Linked DNA regions of Nothobranchius furzeri. The protein of the gene in region 3 purifies or fractionates together with the protein of the main gene of each other region. This does not show direct contact. Links are inferred from orthologs where the notes say so. Each region holds a gene or a part of one and is shown on either strand. Other genes may lie near its edges. The genes, in order: serine/threonine-protein phosphatase 4 catalytic subunit B, serine/threonine-protein phosphatase 2A catalytic subunit beta isoform, ppme1 and ppp2r2aa.

Region 1 (5,321 bases), on a different chromosome or scaffold from region 3:
TCCTAATCCAGCCCACTGCCTCCTGCTTGTATTATTATTATTATTATTAGCAAATACAAAATAAACATCCATCATTTTATTGGCAGTTTATGGTTCTTTTAGTGTTTTCAGCAGCAGAGACTGGTTCCTGCTCCATCTCATGTATGAAATGAGACCACTGGGTTCAAACAAAATAACGAACCAGGCCAAACATGTTATTTATCTTATTTCATTGATAAATGTAGTTTTTAAAGCTCAATTTTTAAGTTGTTAATTTAAAAGCAAATATTTTAAATATGATTAAATACCTGCTAAAAAGCACTAGGATGTGGGAAATGACATCTGCTCACTAAAACTTCTCAGTGGGAGTCCCCCAGACCAACTCCCCCATCACCGGATATCCTCTCAGGGGGTGGCTACTTTCCTTGATGTGGAGTGGGTCTCATCTTCTTCACCCTTGACCCATTTTCATGTCTGAGTTAGAAGGCACAAAGGGATGCCCACATATTCCACAACCACCAAACCCAGTGTGTCTGATGGTGTGAGTGTAAAATTGAGATAAAGCACATGCATGCTCATTATTAATGCAGGCATGTGCTTTAATAATGAGCATGATATCGATATCGGAAGTAATTCGATTTTGGCTCAAAAATACTGTATCTGACTATATCGGACTGCGTCAGAAATCTCCGATATAAGCAGCTGGTTACGGTTCACAATTTTGCAACCAGTGGTTAAAAAAAAGCCCCCTTTTTCACACTTACTGTTATTAGCTCTTGCACACGTTCCATTGCTGTTTCTCACCAGTATCAGCTGATGGAGGGCTCTTGCGCCGTTCATGTCAGGGGGCACGGTAGGGTCGGGGAGGGGGGGCGGGCATGACTCTTAGCCTGGCGGGTGGCCAAGCTTATAAAGCGCTGGGGGAAACCCTGCAGAGTGAGGGACTCTGGTTGTGCATCAGAATTATATTAAAAGAGTAAAAAACACACTATAATTAACGCTTTTTCAGTCTACTGTTTTTAATATAAATCTGACTCACAACTAAGGTCCCACATTCGTTACAGTTATGAACAACAAGTAAAGAGGGAGTGGGATGACCGCTGGAATGTCCGTCAGATTCAAAACCGGTTGCACAGCAGCCCGTCTGACATCAAATACACAGCTCTGCTTGTGATTGCACGCTCATAAGTGCATTCTGGAGGCCACGGTTTTTAAAAACACCAGTTTTCTCGTATTTAACTAAACAATTACACAGACTGTTCCTTATTTACTAGACAAATAAGGAGTCAGACGCAGCAGGAGCGTTATGACCGACTGACCTGTTGCTGGCCTCGGTTCAGGTTGCTGCACCATGTTCTGCCGGGCTCGGTGCTTTGATGTGAGGCTTGTGTTCCGGGAATGAAATAAGAATAAAATGCTCCCAAACTGCTAACCACTCCATGATTGAGCACAGTTGTTGGGTCATGTGACGAGCTCATTTAGTCTAACATATTGTGATAGCAGAAGGACTTGAAGCAGTTAACCTGGCAAACTATTTTACCTGGTTACAACATTAACGGCTATTAACCGTTTAACTAAGTACATCCCTGGTTCATAGAGCACGGGCAAAGGTCTGTGTGTGTCGGGGTGGTTTAAGGTTAACTGACCATTAAAGCTTCTTTCTGGAGTATTTCTCTTATCCGATGGCACCATCTACAAGCTTATCACACAAAATCGCTGTTCCTCTGTTTTTTTAAGCTTCACGTTCCTGTTCATATATGTGCTTCTGTAGCCGACAAACGGCTAAAACACGTTGTTTTCAATTCAAAAATACTTTATTAATCCCAAAGGGAAATTGATTGCTGTAGTAGCTCAGAATAATAATAATAATAATCAAGTCATCAAAGAGTTATTGTATATTACAATGGCTGTTGGCAGGAAGGATCTCCAGTAGCGGTCAGTGTTGCAGCCAAACTGAAGAAGCCTCTGACTGAAGACACTCTTCCGTTGTCGGACAGTCTTGTGAAGAGAATTATTTTACGAGTATTATTGTCATGTTGTGTTTTCATATATTTATATTTTAGAGACTAACTTGTCCGTGAAAAGTTCATGAACTCAGCATCGGCCGAGGTATTCCTTAAATGTGAAGCGTCTAAGCGGTAGTCTAATGCTATTGGTTAGTTCTGGCCGGCGCTCAGTTTCCTACTGCACGGAGCTCTGCGGGGCAGGGGGCGTGCTTGGCAAAAAAAAAAAAGATGTATCGCTTATATTATATCACAGTACATGATGAGATCATCACTTCTACGGATTTCAGAAAAATCATTCATTGTTTCTGAAAGGGGAAAACTCCGGAAAGCTGCTTTAAGCGTTAAAGGTGTCAATAACTGGTTAAAGAAATTGTAGAAAACGTGCATCCCCTTTTAATACCCAAGAATTGAAGTTTTACAGTATTCTGTGTTTTAACGTTACTGTTGGCCAATAAGGCGAGATGTTTCTATCGTAATATTGAGCCTTTATTTTTGGTCCACCACGCCTCAGACAAACTCCCTGTGAGACTGTTTTCACACAGAAAACGAGGCTGCATTATTGAAGCTGTCAATGGAAATGCTGCTTGGGATTTGTGTGTGTGTGTGTGTGTGTGTGTGTGTGTGTGTGTGTGTGTGTGTGTGTGTGTGTGTGTGTGTGTGTGTGTGTGTGTGTGTGTGTGTGTGTGTGTGTGTGTGTGTGTGTGTGTGTGTGTGTGTGTGTGTGTGTGTGTGTGTGTGTGTGTGTGTGTGTGTGTGTGTGTGTGTGTGTGTGTGTGTGTGTGTGTGTGTGTGTGTGTGTGTGTGTGTGTGTGTGTGTGTGTGTGTTAGTTTGGAAAAGCGATGCGACATGGGGTCACTGCCGACTTAGCCTATGTAATAGCCACAGCATGAACTGTTGAAACCAATAAACTAGATAAAACCTTTCCTGGCAGGTTGGTGGCGATGTTCCAGAGACTAACTACCTCTTCATGGGTGACTTTGTGGATCGAGGCTTCTACAGTGTGGAGACTTTTCTTCTGCTTCTAGCTCTTAAGGTAATTCTGGTCTTTGGTTTGTTTTTCACTCTTTATGACATTCTTAGTTCAAGTCATTTTCATTCATCTTTTGACCCTTGTTTGGCACCTCAGGTGAGGTATCCAGACAGGATAACTCTAATCCGGGGAAACCACGAGTCTCGACAAATTACCCAGGTCTATGGCTTCTACGACGAGTGTCTTCGCAAGTATGGCTCAGTCACCGTTTGGAGATACTGCACTGAGATATTTGACTATTTGTCCCTGTCTGCTATCATTGATGGCAAGGTGAGATATGGACGAGTTATTTAAATTTTCTGCATCTTTTTGTATTATTTTGGGTGTCGGTCTCTAAAGTTTTGTGTTTTCTGTGCATCTCAGATCTTCTGCGTGCACGGTGGTTTGTCTCCCTCAATCCAAACATTAGACCAGATCAGGACCATTGACAGAAAGCAGGAAGTGCCCCACGACGGACCCATGTGTGACCTTTTGTGGTCAGACCCTGAAGGTATCTGCAGGCTTTTGCTCTCTGAATAAATAGTGTGAGAGTGGCTTAGGGATGAGGAGTTTGCCCTGTAACTGGTGGGTTGCTGGTTTGAACCCAGGCTCTGTCTGCATGATAAACACTCATGTTGGTGTTACAACTGAACATACAACAGTAAGTCTTCGTGATCCTATGTTTCCTGTTTCTGTCAGACACCACAGGGTGGGGCGTGAGTCCCAGAGGGGCTGGCTACTTGTTTGGGAGTGACGTGGTGGCGCAGTTCAATGCTGCCAATGATATTCACATGATTTGTCGAGCACACCAGCTGGTGATGGAGGGCTACAAGTGGCACTTCAACGAGACGGTGCTCACTGTGTGGTCTGCACCCAACTACTGCTACAGGTGGGTAGCCAGGTTACATTGCATTAGTCGTTCCACTAGCAGAGGATGTAGATTACAGCACACAGTGGGAAAAACAATAACCTGCTGTTTGTCCTTCAGCTGTTTTCACACTTAAAGCAACATATAAACTTCCTCGCTTTTCATTCCTTCTGATTAAAAGCTGAATTAAAACCCAGCTGCAGCCTGCGGTAGCTAGCGCTTTCCCCAAAAAGCTGTCCCTGCTAAGAAGCCGCACAGCTCTGTATCTCCCGTTGCTGCGTGTGAGGTTCTTTAACCTTACCAGGTTTGGGTCCACTTCACTAAATGCGATGGCTAGGAATGGGAACCTTTGACCTTAAAATCAATATGGTACAAACTCCCAGTACCTACTACTGGTACTTAACAGTACCAGTTTTCTATACTTTTGAGTGTTTAATAATTATTAAAATCGCTTTTTTATTAAATATATATATTATTTTCCCCATATATAGCCATATTTGATGAATAACATACAACAGTTTGTATTTTATCATCGTAGTGTTGTACAAAATTCTTCAACATGAAAACTTTTAACAAGTTACTAAATGACGCAAAAATAAAACCAGCTCCATGGACCCTGATCCTCTCCTCCGCCCTCTGGAATAACTCTGATGAGGAGACCGTGTGTTATAAACTACAAATGAAACTAAAACACACTCCGATACCATACAACAGTTTGTATTTTAATATTGTGGTGTTTCACAAACTAAACCAGCTCCGTGTACTCCTCTTCTTTCTCCTCTGGACAAACTGTGTGATGGTGGGTTCTTGTAGTTTTATAAAATGTGTGATGGTGGTTCTTGTAGTTTTATAAACTATGATGGTGGGTCCTTGTAGTTTTATAAACTATGATGGTGGGTTCTTGTAGTTTTATAAACTATGATGGTGGGTCCTTGTAGTTTTATAAACTGTGATGGTGGGTCATTGTAGTTTTATAAACCGTGTGATGGTGGGTCATTGTAGTTTTATAAACTATGTGATGGTGGGTCCTTGTAGTTTTATAAACTATGTGATGGTGGGTCCTTGTAGTTTTATAAACTATGATGGTGGGTCCTTGTAGTTTTATAAACTATGATGGTGGGTCCTTGTAGTTTTATAAACTATGTGATGGTGGGTCCTTGTAGTTTTATAAACTATGTGATGGTGGGTCCTTGTAGTTTTATAAACTATGATGGTGGGTCATTGTAGTTTTATAAACTATGTGATGGTGGGTCCTTGTAGTTTTATAAACTATGTGATGGTGGGTTCTTGTAGTTTTATAAACTATGTGATGGTGGGTCCTTGTAGTTTTATAAACTATGTGATGGTGGGTCCTTGTAGTTTTATAAACTATGATGGTGGGTCCTTGTAGTTTTATAAACTATGTGATGGTGGGTCCTTGTAGTTTTATAAACTATGATGGTGGGTTCTTGTAGTTTT
Region 2 (6,092 bases), about 12 Mb from region 3:
AACTAAACACAGAATATAAATATGTTCATAATATTCTGTTACTTATCAGCCACGGCTAACACACAGCACAGCGCTACTAATCATCTTCTTCTTTGACTTTTAAAGCGGATGATGACATACCGCCATCTACTGGCATCAGGGGGTTACGTCAACCTCCATCGTTGATATGAGATGGTTCCCCCAAACTAAATAGGTAAAAATTATACTAACTTGTTTAAACTACACAGAGTGGCTTTTTTACAGGTAATAAATCAATTTGAAAATAATTTCCAAAGGATTATAAGCTTGTTTACCTGTAATGGAACAATATTTGACAGTTCTCCTCTTGACATTATAAATATACAAAACATATGCTTTCCTTTTACTAAAACACCTTGACATTGAAATGTAGGATTGTTGCGTAATAAAACTGATGGAAATCTGAAGAGTAGTTTAATCAAACAATGTAGGAAACCGGACTGAAATTCAGAAAACACAATCTGTATAACTGCAACATTTCCTCTCACAGTCACCCTGTTTGCCGGGTATAGTTTGATTAATGAATTTCAGTCACAGACAGTGGACACAAAAACATGTTTTTATTGTGGTTTAAAATATATGGAATTATTTTATGTTATTTTGTGGCAAAAAAAAGTTGCAGTTTCTCATTCTGTCTGCAGCCTGTGTGTTCCCATAATGTGTTGCCCATGCATACATGGATTGCCTCCCACTGACCAAAAACTCAAGACTCAAGACAACTTTATTAGTCCCCGAGGGGCAATTTGAGACAATTCATGTAAACCTTTGGCTCACACACACACACACATACACACACACACATGCACACACAAATACACATGCATACATGTAACTATATGCACGCACACATACAAGTTATGCACACTCCTATCGGCACTAAGAATTAAGAAGAAGCACAGCTCTGGGAACAAAGGAACTCCTCCTCTGTGTTTTACAGCATGGACATCGAAGTTGGCGTTTGGAGGGCAGCCACTCGAAAACAGTATGAAGAGGGTGTAATGGGTCTTTAATTATTTTCTATGCTAACTTCCTGTATGCTGGTCACATTGAGAAGTTAAGTTTTGCAGTGGTAGTCCAATGATCTGAGAGCACACCTTGACGGTGCTTTGTAGACGGTTTCTATACTGCAGGCTGACAGAATAAAACCAACAGGGGATGGAAAATGTGATAACACTCTCTATAAAAGAATAATAGAAAGTCAGTAAAATGTCCTTCCTGTCTCCAAATGAATTCAACTTCCTCAGGAGGTAGAGTCGTTGCTGGCATTTTCTGAGGATGTCCTCAGTGTTGGAAGCGAATTTCAGGAGGTGATCAAAGGTGGTCCCTAGATATGTATACTCTTCAACCAGCTCCACTGGCTGTCCATGAATGATAGTGGAGGCAGCGGTAACCAGCGCTCTCTGTTTGTTTGAGAAGGACACCATCTCCTTAGTTTTGGTCACATTCAGCTCCAGGCCTGCTGTGTCACACCAATCCACAAACTCCTGCAGGACCTGCCCGTGCTAAACAGTAGGGCCTGACAGAAGCGACAGGAGCACAGTGTCATCAGCGTATTTTACCATATAACTGTCAGGCTGGATGGATCTACAGTCATCTGTATGGAGAATGAAGAGTAGAGGAGACAACACACAGCCTTGTGGGGTGCCAGTGGAGGTGTAAAGAAGGTCTGTTAACTGGAGACAATAAACTGTCCCTAGATGTAATTGAATGTGTGACTGGTTGTTTGCCTTTATGTGTCCCTGTGATGGACTGGAGGCATGTCCAGATGTCCTCTGTCTGTCCCCTGGTGACTGAAGTGGGTAAAGATGAGTGAGTGAGTGAGTGAGTGAGTGAGTGAGTGAGTGAGTTACAAATAAACCACATAATGTGTACCTAGAGCAGCAAGCCCTGGTCTAGGATCAGCATCCCGGAAAAGACGATGAACTTGTTGTAGTTCGTTACTTCCCCGCGTGGTGTCGCTGGTGTTCCGAGTCTGCGCGCTGCTGAAGTGCCCGGATGTTGTTGCAGCTAGCTCTTTTAGCCTCTGCGACGCCGCTTCGATCTGCCGCAGCGGAGACTTTCGAAGATTTCGACTCCACTGGCTCATTTAAACTGGTTTTAATGTCGGTAACTTAACATTGGTGGTTTATCATGAGAGAAGTTGTCTGAAAGGGTCGTTATTTTTAGGACTAATCGAATATTTTTCAACCGGACTGGATCGGGTTAACAATACGACAAGCTAAAGGCTGAATCAGTTCGCGTAGGGACCGGACGCCGTTTTTTATTACAGCTGAAATGGAAGATAAATCTTTTACTAAAGAATTAGACCAATGGATCGAACAGCTCAACGAGTGCAAGCAGCTAACGGAAAACCAAGTGAGGACCCTCTGTGAGAAGGTAAGCGCTCATTTGATTCCGCTGACCTCAATTTATAAGCGGCCTGGTTCTCAGCGGCCCCGACTAATTTCTGGAAAGGAAGTAACGTGTATTTTGGTTTTTATCTCCCTATTGACCCGTCAGCCGCAGGTCATCCCTGTTTATTAGTACTAGAAATGAGAAATTATTCGTATTGTTTTTGGTGTTTGAAGATCAGAGGCTAGTTTTATCAGTGATGACGGTTAACCAACAGTCGTAGTTTGAGCACCAACAGGCCGAAAATCGCACCTTAAATGTCTAGTAAATAGATGCAGCCCTCGTTACCATCCACCCGTTTTTTTATTTGACGTGGTTTCCCTCGGTTTGTTCCATGCGAAATATTATGTTAAAATCAGTATTAAGTCAGCGTCTTTAGAATTGGTTTGTTTGCGTACGTGCGGGGTTTCGCACCGCACCCTGTCTGTATTGATTTATCGTTTATTGCATAAACCCATCCTACCTCCCAGTTATTAGACGCGTCCGCATTTTTGCTGTCGCATAATAAATTAGTTCTTATGACTTTTTGCATCGTGTTATTTTTTTAAACATACATTATTATAATTGAGTGACTTTAGCGGTTTTTCAGCTGAAATCAGGAACCAGCTGAGGATTCAACAGGCCAGATAAACGTGGAAACTTATGGAGCTGCAAAAGATGATTTTTATTTATTACTAAAGTAAATAAACAGCTTTTGTGTATATTTATGTCGTTTTGCTGAGCAACACTTTGAACTAAAGAGTTAAACTATCAATCGATTTTGATGCCTTTAATTATGTTTCCTTTTCATAATTAAAGCTTTTTTTCCTGTATTATTTTGTTATTATTGTGAGCTTACCAAATATAAAGAATCAAAAACTGAACCACTGCAGAGAGGCTCTTTATTCTGATGTTTTTGCACATAAACAACAACAAAAAACCAGGTTTCACCATACATCCTGTTTGTTATTCTACAGGAACTGGGGTCTTGCCTGGCTTCCAGCATGTTTTCACCCATGATGCAATAATTCTGTCCTTTTTAAACTTTTGGTTATGTAAATAAAAACACACAAATGTGACCAGTTTAATAAATTTTTGTGTTCTTTTCAGGCAAAGGAGATTCTGACTAAGGAGTCCAACGTTCAAGAGGTGAGTTTGGCCCAAAAAAATCCTAATAAGTCGCCTTCTTCAATACTGCATACATCCGAGTTAATTTGCAGTTTTTGTTCCTGTTGGGGGGGGGTTATCTATGAGGAAATGGAAATCCATTTGAAGAGATTATTCCGTTTGTTTCTAAAACGGTCAGGGTCAGTTTGTGTTATTTTATCATCTTGTGTGTTCCAGTCACACCAGAGTCTCTGGGTTGTATGTTCAAACTTTTAGTAGAACAAACCAGAGGGGCTGGCTTCCCAAACTCAGTTCCTCTTTAGTACCGACCAAATATTTAGTAGGAACTGGTACGGAATAAATATGTATTTTTTGTTGTGAAACTTCAGTATTGTCTTGATAAATTGGCCCTAATAATGAGCCGAACAGCTCCGCACGCCGTGTGACTAAAGGAAGCTGCTCTCTCACACACCATTTATGGCAGGAGTTAATGTAACATTTCAGATAAGATTTGTGTTGCTAAATATGACAAAACAGCAATTTAATAAAGCGCAGCGTCGTTCCTGGTGTTGGTCTGTGAGCCGAAACATGAACCGATTTCATCTGCTGCTGCCAAAAAAAAACAACCAGACTCAAGTCCACAACCCTCCTGCGCTGCAACAGCAACACGGCGGCGTCACCAGGATTGTTTTTTGTTCTGCCTCTTTAAATTTGTATGTTCTAGGGCTGCACGATATTAGGAAAACCTGTGATATGCAATAACGGTGATTAATATTGCAATGACGGTATTACTTGCGATAAATATAAACTTAATTCAGGAACAAAAATAATCAAAAGCAAATAAATAAAAAAGTGACAAAAATATCATAGAAATGAAAAAAGCTAACTTAAAAAAGTTTACTTTTGATTTGGACTAAAAGGTAAAAACTAACTTTTTTTTATTCATTAACTGCCAACCATTTCCTGATCAGAAAAGCCCTTCACTTCCAGCATTTTTACTCCTTTTTTTTATAGAGTGACAGAATGTTGCACGCTAGGATGATGTCGACACCAAAACAACCAAAACAAAGCGGAGACTCACCTCTTACATCAGGAAGAATCCGCGTGTTTCGAGCGTTATCCGTTCTTTAATAATACGTTGTTGAATTGTGATCGTCAGAAGCTTTTCCGGTTCACGCCTCACTTTTTTTACAGCAGCGGCCCAAAACGATCTCCTAACACGTGGATGTTCTGCTTCCTGATCACGTGACGTATGCGGATGAAGATCGGCTTTAGAGCTGAGATGTTTGTTCTCACGGTGCGGGGGCTCGTCCGACGCCCACACAGTAAAAACATGCAAATGACGACTGGCAGTTAATGAGTTAATCTTATAGTTTACTGTTTGCATTGAAAGTTTGCCATTTAGTTGAGTCTAATAAACATTTAAGTACTTTTTATTAATGATGCGTACGTTCTGACCCTTCGTCTCTCCGAGCGCGTTAGGAAACTTGGCCACTTTAGTCGCTTGTTTTGGGTTGTAATGCGAAACTTAAAAGGTCAACGTATCAAGTCGGAGACTCTTGGATAAGTGAATCGATTTTTCTTCCAAATCAGTGAACTGGAACAGGATCGGGGGTCCAATAACTGATCTGGTGGAGCTCACCACCACACAAGAGGTGATGTGCAGCAAAAAGCACAGAAACAGTAATTAAGGTAGTTTAGGCCTTCTACAGAGATCATCAGCAGCGTTCTGTATTCATGCTGAGTTAACTGCCGTGTGGTGGATGTTGGAGTGACCCTGTGATGGTGTGACACCCCCTCCAGGTGAGATGCCCGGTGACGGTGTGTGGGGATGTCCACGGTCAGTTCCACGACCTGATGGAGCTGTTTAAGATTGGTGGGAAGTCCCCCGACACCAACTACCTGTTCATGGGAGACTATGTGGACAGAGGCTACTACTCTGTGGAGACGGTCACTCTGCTGGTCACGTTAAAGGTAAATCACAGGTTAATGAGCCACATTCTGCCGTTTGACCAGAAACTAAACAGTTTTTAATCGTCAGAAAAAAACTTTCATATTTTCTAAGTTCGTAGACGTTTGTTTTTCTCCTGTTTTTGATCAGATTTAATGTTCAGAAACGCTTTAAAGCTGTGAGGGTAACAGATCTGATGAACAAATGTCTGAACTCGTTCTTCCCACCACTCCAAATCTTCTAAAAATAATCCTCGTTAGTCTGATTTTCTTTGAGAGGCGTCTCTGAGGTTTTGGGTCAACATGAAAACAACCTAAAGCCAAAAGGAGGCCTGTTGCTGCATTTAAATCTGTTTCTCGTGAGGTGGTCCCAGGTGGGCCGAGTTACGGGCTCCACTTTGTAAACCGTCGGGGTCGATGTTATTTCTGACATGCAGATAAAATCTGTTTTATTCAGTAAATCTACAGTTCAGTGCTGCAAAGTTCAGAGTTTTTCACCCAGACGGTCACCAACGCCAACATCAGACGCTTGTGGGTCTGATGTTTGTGTTGGATGCTGCTGTCGGTGTGTTGATGGGTTTACCGTCCAGCTTTACTGTATCGGTAATAGGGTTGTCACGGTAACCGGTGTAGCGGTACACCCTGGT
Region 3 (4,824 bases):
ATAATAAATAAAATAAGTGCATTTTGAGTTTACGAAAAAAGATTATGTATTCAAAAATACAAAATTTGACCTTTATTTAATCGAGGAAGTTGATGCATACTACTAGTTAAGTTATTTTAAAGTGTTTCTGGTTAAGTTTAATACTAGAGTCACACTATCTTTACACTTAAAGTGAATTTAAAACCAAATTTACTATACTGTTATTGAGTAAAGGCAGCTTGGAGTGTCTAATACCAAAAGCCTGTGCCGTCTTTGACTGTTTTCCTGTTTAAACCAGTAATGTTCCGATGGCCACAGAGAAACGGCTTGTTCTGAAACAAGTTGGTTTATCGTGTCATAAGCTTAAACACCACTTTAAATCTGCATGCCCCAACCCACTTAAACGTCTGTTTATCGCGGTGATGCTAACTGCAGAACAACGCTAGCCCGAGCTACTGCTAACGTCCTTGTTGGACAAGAAGAAGTTGTCAAAAAAAGATTATTGAAGCTCTCACATTCCAGGATGTACTGAAGATCCAGACTGTGATTGAGTGACAGATGGAGCCACAGCTTGCCATCTTTTTCTTCAAACCCCTTCACTTGAAACCTAAAGAGTAGTTTGTGCTTCTGCATCAGCTCCACAAGTGAGAGACACACACGCATTGACAGAGACGTTTTGCTCTCGGACTTCTCCGTCTCTTTGGGAGTGTTGTAAAGCAATTCCTCACCAGGACAACGAAGGGCGTAGCGCTGTTCTGAGGTATCCTGTTTTGTATCTGGTTAAAGATGGCACATTTACTATTGTGTTTTTGTTGTGTTTTTTGTATTTCAGAGACTTTTTAACATGGAAAAATGTGTCCCTCATTCTCCTCCACCTCTTCATGCGCTTACACTTAATCTCTAAAACCACAGTTCCCGTCATTTCCATCCACGAATAAAACGCTTGCTGCATATCTTTTTACCCCTCCAGTCACAGGTGAATAAGACGTTCATATAGAGTTTTTCCTTGAGGTATTCTTTAAGCTGCTACTATCTTCGGCTGTCTTTATGCTTTTGAAGGTGCAATGGCAGTGCTGTTGACGAAAGCAGCGTCCTGACCAATCACAAGCTTGCATTCTACGTCTCGTTCGACAGATGTTTAGAAAAGTGGGCTCGATTACGTCGATAATAGCGTTGCATGTCTCCACACAGACGCAGAAGCATAAACTAGGCTTAAGTTCCCTTAACTTTGTGTGACTTTCAGCTTGCAAGTACGAAGTTTGGCCGAATGTTTCTGCCCCTCAGTTGACTGGTCCATGTCTTGTCAATCATAAATGTACCCAACCTATCAGATAACAGATGGGTGTGGCTGTGGGTGTGGCATTTTACTGAGCTGCAGGTCCTGGAAGCGTTGAACTGGAGGTTTTAATTGAAGTGGTTTATTATGTTAATGTGCCTTTTTCTTTGCAGGAGACACCAAAGTTAAAAATCCTGAGGATCTTTCTGCAGACACAATGGCAAAGTAAGTTCTTGTCCACTGACTTGTAGAGTTTAAACACATTCTGCAGGTTTCTGCGTTTCATTTTCAGGCTAGTTTAAAATAAGTTGTTTGTCGTTGGTTAATATCTTAACTGAAAAGAGAGATTCAGTAAATATAACAAGGCTAACCGGCTGTTCATGTGTTTTCCAAAAGAGATGTTGGTAAAGTGGTGGAGGCACTCTATGGAGAGAGCCCACCTCCCATCTTGATAATTGGCCACAGTATGGGCGGGGCCATTGCAGTTCATACAGCCAGTGCCAATCTAGTGCCGTCCCTGCTTGGGCTGTGTGTCATCGATGTTGTAGAAGGTAAACTCTCGTGCTTTTTTCTTTGTTGCATCATATCAGAGCAAAGCTCACAAAGATTTACCTTCACATAGTTTTAGGAGCCCCCCCCCCCCCCCATGCTGTCTGGCAGTGCATTCAGAATTGGTGTCTGGGTGCCCTTAGAACAATTGCCCAAGAGAGAAAAGAAAACAAAAACCACGGCATCGACTAGGGCTGGGCGATATGGGCCAAAACTTATATCTCAATATCGTTTAGCTGAATTCCGATAAACGATTTATATCTCAATATTTTCCCTCCTGTAACATATTAATAAGTTAACTGCCTTCAAGCTGTCTATAATGATGTACAGCAAACTAAATGTATTGATTCTCATCAAACATTGACCCGAGTGCCCAAGCTAATCGCTAGCCGCTATGCTTGCAGCTTGACTAGTTTTATCGATAAAGTCATCTCGTTTCTTGCTTGAAATTAAATCGATATTTTTTTAAATATCGATAAATTGCCCAGCCCTACCATCGACCAACAAATGCACGTTTAGTGTTCCTGATAAATACTAAAATATCATAAGTGGCAGCCACAGACTTGTTAAGTGTGTGTACGCGGTTCTGTGGTTTCTCCCTGACATTATTTACTACGGGTGTGGAGGACCCCAGGCCCGTCCCTCCCAGGCCCTGAAGCAGACCATGGGGAATGATAAGAACTATGGGCCATTCCCATCTGTACCTGGTTAGCCCAGCCCGGATAGCTCCAGTCGGCCCCAGCCAGGCTCGGTTGATTCCACACATCCTTGCTAAGTGTTATACAAGGAATGCAGTCAGACATTTTCAGCTTCTAGGCAATCAGCATGATAATGTATGATAATGAATTGAGCATGCCTTAAGCCCATGTGGGCTGATTCTACCGACCAATCAGAGGCTTGCTCTAATGGAAGGTGTGAATTTGCTGTCAGCCATGGGTGTGTTGGCCCTGGTCAGCCTGAAGCAGACCACCTCAGAAAGAGGGCTGAAAAACAGTCTCATTGCACCCTGAAAAAAGGCAGGCCACCAAGATATGTAAGCAAGACCACATGCCACATGCCGGGCCGACCAGGTACAGATGGGAATGGCCCAAAGGTCACCCAGGACCTCCCAAGAGGACAGGGACCCCATGATGATCACCACAGGAAGGACCACAGTCCTCCCCCAACAAAGGGACCGTCGACCAAAGGAGCTAACCAGCAGCTACAGTACAGAAACCTCAGGGGGCTGCAGTGACAATCCCACAGACCCCACCTGCAGCCGGCTCCCCCTGAGCAGACTGGAATATGGACCCAGAGACCCGAGACTCCAGGGCACCTCGCCACCCGGCAGGAACCCAACCAGGCCAGGAAGCACCAGACTCCACCAAGCATCTGCTGGAAGGGAGCCAGTGCACACCCAGTCACCCAGCCCTTACCAAGAGCCACCAGCGCCCTAGATTCTGAAAGGGAGTTTGAAGGGGGGAGATGGGCCTGTGTTGGAGTCTAAAGGATGTAATATAGAAGCCAAAATGAAACTAAAGATCTAATAATGAGGTCATCAGTGAAAGAGTTTTTCTTCTCTAGGTACTGCCATGGATGCTTTGAACAGCATGCAAAATTTCCTCAGAAGTCGGCCAAAGACGTTTAAGTCTCTGGAGAATGCCATTGAGTGGAGGTACACGTTTGATCTTCGAGAGAGCTGCATCATTTCCCCCTGCAGGTGTCGAATGTTGATGTTGGCTAACGTTATCTTTTGTTTTAGTGTGAAAAGTGGCCAGATTAGAAACCTGGAGTCAGCTCGGGTGTCGATGGGAGGACAAGTGAAGAAGTAGGTTCTTGTTTTTTGTACGTTTAGATTCTGATCAAGTATATTCACCCGTTTCTCTTCTTCTAATCACAGATGTGAGGAGTCCATCAGCAGCCCAAGTGTTACCAACAGCCTGGGTGAAGGCATCATCGAGGAAGAGGAGGATGAAGAAGCAGAGGAGGAATCAAACAAGAAAAGAATGAAGGAAGATGAACACCAGGTTCAGTTTGTGACTGCTTTTCCTCTCTGATGTGACCTTTTCCTTGTAGAAACCCACTGAAACAGGCCGAGTTCTACTTCCAGGTCAAAAAGGAAAGCGTCTTCACTTGGCGAGTGGAGCTGTCAAAGACGGAAAAGTATTGGGAGGGCTGGTTTAGAGGTCTGTCAGCACTCTTCCTCTCCTGCTCTGTGCCAAAGCTGCTTCTGCTTGCAGGTTTGTTCTTCGTCTACCACTCAGATTTTTTTTTTACCTGATGTTCTGAAAGGTGGTTCAGGGAGAATTTTACCACAGTTTCACTCCTGACTTGTTCCTTTGTCCAGGAGTGGACCGGCTGGACAAAGACCTTACAATTGGACAGATGCAAGGTAAATGTGCTGCATTATATCAGTGTGTTGTAGAATGTGTTTGTCTCATTGACAGCTGCACCCTTTGTCCACAGGGAAGTTTCAGATGCAGGTCCTACCTCAGTGTGGACATGCTGTCCACGAGGACGCACCTGATAAAGTAAGAGTCCTTCACCTGCACCGATAAACCAAAGGAAGGGGTTCTGTTTGACCCACAGAGTCTTCAGCTGTTTAATTTCTCTGGTGTTTTCTGTTAGGTAGCAGATGCTCTCGCAACATTTATGGTCCGGCACAAATTCACCGAGTTTAAGGAAGGATTTCTGTGGTAAGTGAAACAAAAATCAACACAAAACCCATCACAGATAACGCAAAACAGCTCAGAGGGATAGCTTTGTATCTGTGGGGAATCATTACCTCACTTGGGTTAGGTGGTTCTGGGTTTAATGGATCTGTTTTGTCTATCGTAGCGAATCCATCTGGATCAATCCGCTCTTATGCTGTTGGGTCCAGGGAGAATGGGAACTAGTTTATTGTAGGAAAATGTATAAAATGAAAATTGTCTTGAACTGGTTATTTTCATAGATTCTGATTCTTTCTTTGTATAGTTTTGATTTGAAACCTGATTAGTTTTAACATTAATTTCATGGGTTTATTTTACAAACATGCATTT
Region 4 (5,763 bases), on a different chromosome or scaffold from region 3:
TGAGTTCACTGTACTACAATGGCCCCCACAGTCACCAGATCTCAACCCGATAGAGCATCTTTGGGATGTGGTGGAACGGGAGTTTCGTGCCCTGGAAGTGCATCCCACAAATCTTCATCAACAGCAAGATGCTATCCTATCAATATGGGCCAACATTTCTAAAGAATGCTTTCAGCACCTTGTTGAATCAATGCCATGTAGAATTAAAGGGACTTTACGGTGTTTTGAATTTTTATGTTCGCGAATGCTCCCTCAGGTCAAAAGCGTAACAGCAGCTTCAATAGTAGGCTCGTGCACGAGGCGCGCATGCTGTACGTGCACACTCCTTAACGAAAATAACAGCTGAGACAGTCCCGAGTGTGTGTGTGTGTGTGTGTGTGGCCCAAAGGACAGAGGACAGGACAACATGCAGCTAATTAATTAAATGATTTGGTTCTGTACCTTTCTCTTCAGCACAGCCAACAAAGGTTTATGATGGGTCAGTCTTCCTGCATGCTCAGATAATTCCCTTCCCTTGCTTGAAAAATTAATCCAAAATGAAAGTTGAACCCACATCTTTTTTATCTGTGAATTCAATGCCGTTCGGTGAGTCTCAAATAAAAATTTGAGCATCTTACTGTAAAAAAATATACCATCAATGTAAAAAATAAACTCTTAACTAAACCATATTCACATTGAGAATCAAGCCCGGGTCTTCTGCACGAGAGTCCAACATCTTACTAGGTGAGCTAAAGCACCAGTGACGTCATTTGTATCTGTAACATTTATATCGTTGATAACAGCTGAAACAATGGTCAAAGAACGGTTCGGAGCGAAAATGGCTATTTTGTTGCTAATTTGCAGGAAATATCTAGAAGAAAGTAGCTAAGGGTCCTCAGAAATGTAGCTAGGTTTATCACTAGGCGTTAGGAACAGCGACAAAGTCGCTGAGTTGGCACTACCTCTCTCTCTGCTGCTAAAGCTACTGATGGCAAATGCTACAGGCGATGCCTGAGCGTGAATGTTCAAGAAGCAGCCTGCTCGACCCGAGCAGCTCTCTTTTTCTTTGATTTTACAGAAAAACAGGCAATCACAGTAAAAATGTCAGGGCTCATTCTACAGGACCAGGGCATTGCAGGAGAATGTATGAAGAAGAAATTTATTATTTCTATACATGTTTTGGCTGTCAAACTTCTATAATACCCCTTTAAGGCAGTTCTGAAGGTGAAAGTGGGTCAAACACCATATTAGTATGTTCCTAATAATCCTTTAGGTGATTGTAATACATGATACTTATTCCATGCAAAGTCAGATATTTCAGGACTTTGTTATATTTGTGATGATTATGGCTTTCAGCTTATGAAAACCCCACATTCAGAAATCTCAAATGAATCCAAAACACCTGCAAAGGGTTCCTGAGCCTTTAGACAGTCTCTCAGTCTAAGTTGGATCACTGAAATAAACAGACTTTTGTACCATATTCTAATTTTGAGTTTCACCTGTATACTTGACCACATAATCAATAATACTTGCACACAAAAATCCATCCCTACATACAGCAGGTTTCAGAGGCTCAACAATTCGTCCATTTTTCATTCTCATGAAACAACCAACAGAAAAATAAATCATGTAAAGGTGAGAATTAAACATAAAAAGGATACTAAAGCTGCGATCGGTGATCTCCAAGTGCCAAAGGTTAATGCGCAAGTCATCTGCAGACAAATAGGTCTCATGATCACTGTTTACTGATATGGAGTTGATGTGATAGGTGTGAGCATTTGCAAACACTCGTCTGGGACTGGCTTCCACCATCAGATCCATGGGCCGCAGCACCGGTACCTGAGGAAGCATGTGGAACGAGAGTTAGCAATTATATAAAAATTATAATATTAAAATTACTTCATGTAGCTGAAAGAGAAAATGGCAGATGTGTTAAACTACTTGTGTAATAAAAATAGCACCGAGGCTAATAACCCAAGCCCCCAAAAATGAAATCAATAAAGGGAGAATGATTACAATTCACTCTGTGTGATAAGAACAGTTCAATACACACCCGTAGTGTTGTGACAGAATTGGGATCTCTGTATCGCCCGTCCTCTTCTTTTAAATTATAGCCCTCTGCTCTCTTGTCACGCTCACTGATTTTCCACAGTTTTATAGTTTTATCTGTCGGCGAGAAACTGCAGAGGTCAGGCATCTTAAGCAGTGGAAAAAATGTGCTGCAATCATGACTACTTGACCACTATAGTGAATCTCTTGTTGGCAGACAAGAAAGTGACACAGACAGTGTGTCTCAAATTCAGTCCCACTGTAGTGAATGAAAGCAGAGTGGGTCTGGTAGCTCACTAACCATTTGTTGATAAAAGAAACTGTGCAGCATTCTTCTGAGGTAACCATCGAATCTTGTTGATCTTCTCCTCGATCTCAAGACTTTTCAAATAGTCAAACTCGGGCTCGTGGCTCTGGAAGGTGCTGTAAACATTGTACTCTCCTCTGCACTGTGCCTGATTCTTACTCTGAACAAAAACACACAAAGTAAATCAGACTTTACTTCAGGTAGAATTAAGATTAAAGAAAAAATATGTTTAGAACAACTACTTTTTGTGTGTCTTTGAGACTCAGGCTACTCAGTTCCTAACTAAATAAAACAGTAAATAATGAAGTTATCAACTGTGAAAAACATGCAATCAGGTGCGTTATTTCACCAATCACCTACCTCTGGCTCCTGTTGAAAGATGACAACACGCCCCCCCTTGTCACCAGTGGCAAGCAGCTCACCAGAGTGATTGAATTCAACAGTAGATATGATGTCAGCTGTCAACATAGCATAGTTATTAACAACAACAATTAATAACGTACAAAACTACTCCATAAAATTGCTGATGGGGTGTGCTAGCTTCAGTCTCCCACCTGTTATCGTAAAACCTGAATGAAACATAGTGGAAACTAAACAGATCAGTGAAAACTAAATGCAACACTTAAACCACTTTCCATCTGGAGCTGTTCTCAGTAATCACATAGTGGCACTATTCTGAGCTGGTTCCAGTCCAAACCCAACACATACAGAGCCTGATACGACCTGACCCGTACAGTCCATTCAATAAAACAAAAGGAGACAGACTGGGGCAGAACATGTTCTCAGAGTGAAGCTTTACTGTAAACAACTCTCCAGGCTTTTATATGTAAATATGTCTGTTAAGTATTATGTAGGCACATTTTAGCACTCCCTTCACTTTGCAGTAAATATGATGAAACACTCAACGAATCTAAAGCAGTAAAACACCCAAACAGGACTGGATTCTTTCAACTTTAGTGCAAACATAACGCTCAAACGAGTTATTTGATGATGTGCACACACATCACATCAGAAATCAGTGCAAGCACCAATACGCACTTACCTTCTGCTACATCATCGTCCATCGCGCCTTTGACCTGGGAGAAGTACCACTGCACATCGCTGCTCCCACCACCGGGTCCTGCAAAAAACACAGCCCTGTTTCAACTTCCCATTAGCCGTGAGCTAACTCGATTCAAACTGTCCCTTAGACAAGAGAAAAGCTCACATATGCTTCACACGAACTGCATGTTGTGTGTGAGGGAGCAGCATGAGTGTTAATGGGTTTGGTTTGGGGGCTGTCACTTTTTAAGCCTGTTGGGGATTTAATTCGTAGTATCCTAGCATGCTAACTGGTTAGCCTGTGCTAGCTTGTAGAGAGTAATAGATACAACACCTCTGTGCCGAATGATACTGATACTAGAACATGCTTCAAGCTCATCGTGACGGTCTGTTTTTACCTGCCATGGTGAGGGGTTCAGACTGGGGTTCCTGCTACTGCTTCAGGCCCTGGACTGGACCCAGATCGGATGACTGACTGGGTGGTTCTGTCCGAATAGCTGAGGAGGAATTAAGCTTTGCTGGGTGTGCAGGATTATAAATAACCACAAAAGTCCTCGATCCAGCAGATACTACGAAAGCTAAACAGCTTTCAGTGGAAGAACACACAACCTTCACTACCGGTTTGCAGACTTTGCACTCCACTCTGAGATTTCCCTCGCAACTGCCGCTTCTGGCGATGCACTTCCAAAATGGCGCCGCGCGGGCGGTGTTGCTCAGAATCAGAGAGAACACGGTGCTCTAATAGTTTTAATATAAAAGTTCGTCAAACAACATCATGTGCAAAATGATATGTAATAAAAATAAAAATAAAACCCCCCGCCAAAATCTATTTTACGTCGAACAGTAAACATAACATTTTCTTGTTTACAGATGTAACGCATTCATCCCGCCCCTGTGGATTGTTACTGTGCAAAAAATCGAACTAACAGTTTTATTTCCTTCAATTAGCTTGTGTGTGTGTGTGTGTGTGCGCGCGCGCGCGTGTGTGTGGTGGTGGTGGTGGTGTGTGTGTGTGTGTGTGTGTGTGTGTGTGTGAAAAATATGATCACTTAAATTTTAAGTTGAACATTTTTTAAACCATTTTTTTACATTTTCTACTCATCACATCTCTTTTACTTCTAATATTTTAATTTTGAACAAACTTGCAATATAAAAACTTTGAATTGCACACACACACACACACACACACACACACACATGTATGTATATGAGTAAAATTCGGGGCAATAGACAGCTACACCCTGCCATTACTCAGATATCCTGCAGGAATAATAAGCTGGCCAAAGGAAGAAGTATAGACCACAGAAGCTCCTAACCATGCATCAAGGGTTCTATCCAAGGTCCAGCACCCTGAGACTGTACACTAGCCATAAGGAAGGAGGCCAAGGAGTAGTGAGTGTGAGAGCCACTGGCCAGGATGAAATTCAATTCAATTCAATTCAAGTTTATTTATATAGCGCCAAATCACGACAAGCATCGTCTCAAGGCACTTCACATAAACATTCCAATACAGGTCAATTCATTAAGCCAATCAGAAAAAAGTTTCCTGTAAGGAACCCAGCAAGCTGCATCGAGTCACTGACTGGTGTCAGTGTCTTTACAGCAATCCTCATACTAAGCAAGCATGCAGTGACAGTGGAGAGGAAAACTCCCTTTTAACAGGAAGAAACCTCCAGAGGATCCTGGCTCAGTATAAGCAGCCATCTGCCATGACTCACTGGGGATCAAGAAGACAGAGCACACACACACACACACACACACACACACACACACACACACACACACACACACACACACACACACACACACACACACACACACACACACACACACACACACACACACACACACACACACACACACACACACACGCACATACACACAGACACACACACACCAAGTAGTGTTTCTATGGTTACATTGTGATTTCTTAGTAAATATTCTTTTTGGTGAGAGATAAACTTTATTGTATTTATCCTAGTGAATCTATAATTAAATGGGTAAACTAGTAGTAGCACATTCAATGTCAAAGAAAGTAAAGTGTTATTAAGGAGAGGGAGAATGATGAAATGGTTAGCAACAGTGTTCAATACGATAGCCAAGAAAGATCCATAAGCACATCATGGCCCCAACAGATAACATGCTCAGTGAATGTCTCAGACAATGGTGAATAGAGGAGGAGGTGCTGGAAATACCATCATGGGAAGACACACCCCTCCATGGGATGTACCACCAACAGATAACTAAAGTGGTTGATATCAAGAAATCCTTCCAATGGCTAGAAAGAGCTGGTCTGAAGGACAGCACAGAAGCACTCATCATGGCTGCACAGGAACAGGCCCTGAACACCAGAGCAACAGAGGCCAAGATCTACCACACAAGACCCA

Evidence for each region.
Region 1: the proteins of ppme1 (region 3) and serine/threonine-protein phosphatase 4 catalytic subunit B purify together in Homo sapiens (affinity purification with mass spectrometry; 3 studies listed by BioGRID and IntAct, with this or other methods). This does not show direct contact. The link is inferred for Nothobranchius furzeri from reciprocal best matches to the Homo sapiens genes PPME1 and PPP4C.
Region 2: the proteins of ppme1 (region 3) and serine/threonine-protein phosphatase 2A catalytic subunit beta isoform purify together in Homo sapiens (affinity purification with mass spectrometry; 6 studies listed by BioGRID and IntAct, counting the BioPlex papers as one, with this or other methods). This does not show direct contact. The link is inferred for Nothobranchius furzeri from reciprocal best matches to the Homo sapiens genes PPME1 and PPP2CB.
Region 4: the proteins of ppme1 (region 3) and ppp2r2aa purify together in Homo sapiens (affinity purification with mass spectrometry; 3 studies listed by BioGRID and IntAct, with this or other methods). This does not show direct contact. The link is inferred for Nothobranchius furzeri from reciprocal best matches to the Homo sapiens genes PPME1 and PPP2R2A.

Annotation. Positions count from the first base shown.
Region 1 is NC_091758.1:11,562,379-11,567,699, forward strand, and holds part of serine/threonine-protein phosphatase 4 catalytic subunit B, read left to right. Parts: intron 1-2,917; coding exon 2,918-3,019; intron 3,020-3,112; coding exon 3,113-3,286; intron 3,287-3,379; coding exon 3,380-3,506; intron 3,507-3,694; coding exon 3,695-3,884; intron 3,885-5,321. UniProt on the Homo sapiens protein: Protein phosphatase that is involved in many processes such as microtubule organization at centrosomes, maturation of spliceosomal snRNPs, apoptosis, DNA repair, tumor necrosis factor (TNF)-alpha signaling, activation of c-Jun N-terminal kinase MAPK8, regulation of histone acetylation, DNA damage checkpoint signaling, NF-kappa-B activation and cell migration.
Region 2 is NC_091750.1:36,847,039-36,853,130, forward strand, and holds the start of serine/threonine-protein phosphatase 2A catalytic subunit beta isoform, read left to right. Parts: upstream 1-2,002; 5' UTR 2,003-2,292; coding exon 2,293-2,394; intron 2,395-3,498; coding exon 3,499-3,537; intron 3,538-5,298; coding exon 5,299-5,469; intron 5,470-6,092.
Region 3 is NC_091750.1:48,881,916-48,886,739, forward strand, and holds part of ppme1 (protein phosphatase methylesterase 1), read left to right. Parts: intron 1-1,428; coding exon 1,429-1,480; intron 1,481-1,651; coding exon 1,652-1,806; intron 1,807-3,367; coding exon 3,368-3,458; intron 3,459-3,545; coding exon 3,546-3,611; intron 3,612-3,683; coding exon 3,684-3,810; intron 3,811-3,893; coding exon 3,894-4,023; intron 4,024-4,130; coding exon 4,131-4,175; intron 4,176-4,249; coding exon 4,250-4,314; intron 4,315-4,411; coding exon 4,412-4,479; intron 4,480-4,824. UniProt on the Homo sapiens protein: Demethylates proteins that have been reversibly carboxymethylated. Demethylates PPP2CB (in vitro) and PPP2CA. Binding to PPP2CA displaces the manganese ion and inactivates the enzyme.
Region 4 is NC_091757.1:37,261,651-37,267,413, forward strand, and holds the start of ppp2r2aa (serine/threonine-protein phosphatase 2A 55 kDa regulatory subunit B alpha isoform), read right to left. Parts: upstream 3,998-5,763; 5' UTR 3,782-3,997; coding exon 3,775-3,781; intron 3,456-3,774; coding exon 3,378-3,455; intron 2,794-3,377; coding exon 2,696-2,793; intron 2,496-2,695; coding exon 2,330-2,495; intron 2,146-2,329; coding exon 2,033-2,145; intron 1,819-2,032; coding exon 1,641-1,818; intron 1-1,640. UniProt on the Homo sapiens protein: Substrate-recognition subunit of protein phosphatase 2A (PP2A) that plays a key role in cell cycle by controlling mitosis entry and exit. Involved in chromosome clustering during late mitosis by mediating dephosphorylation of MKI67.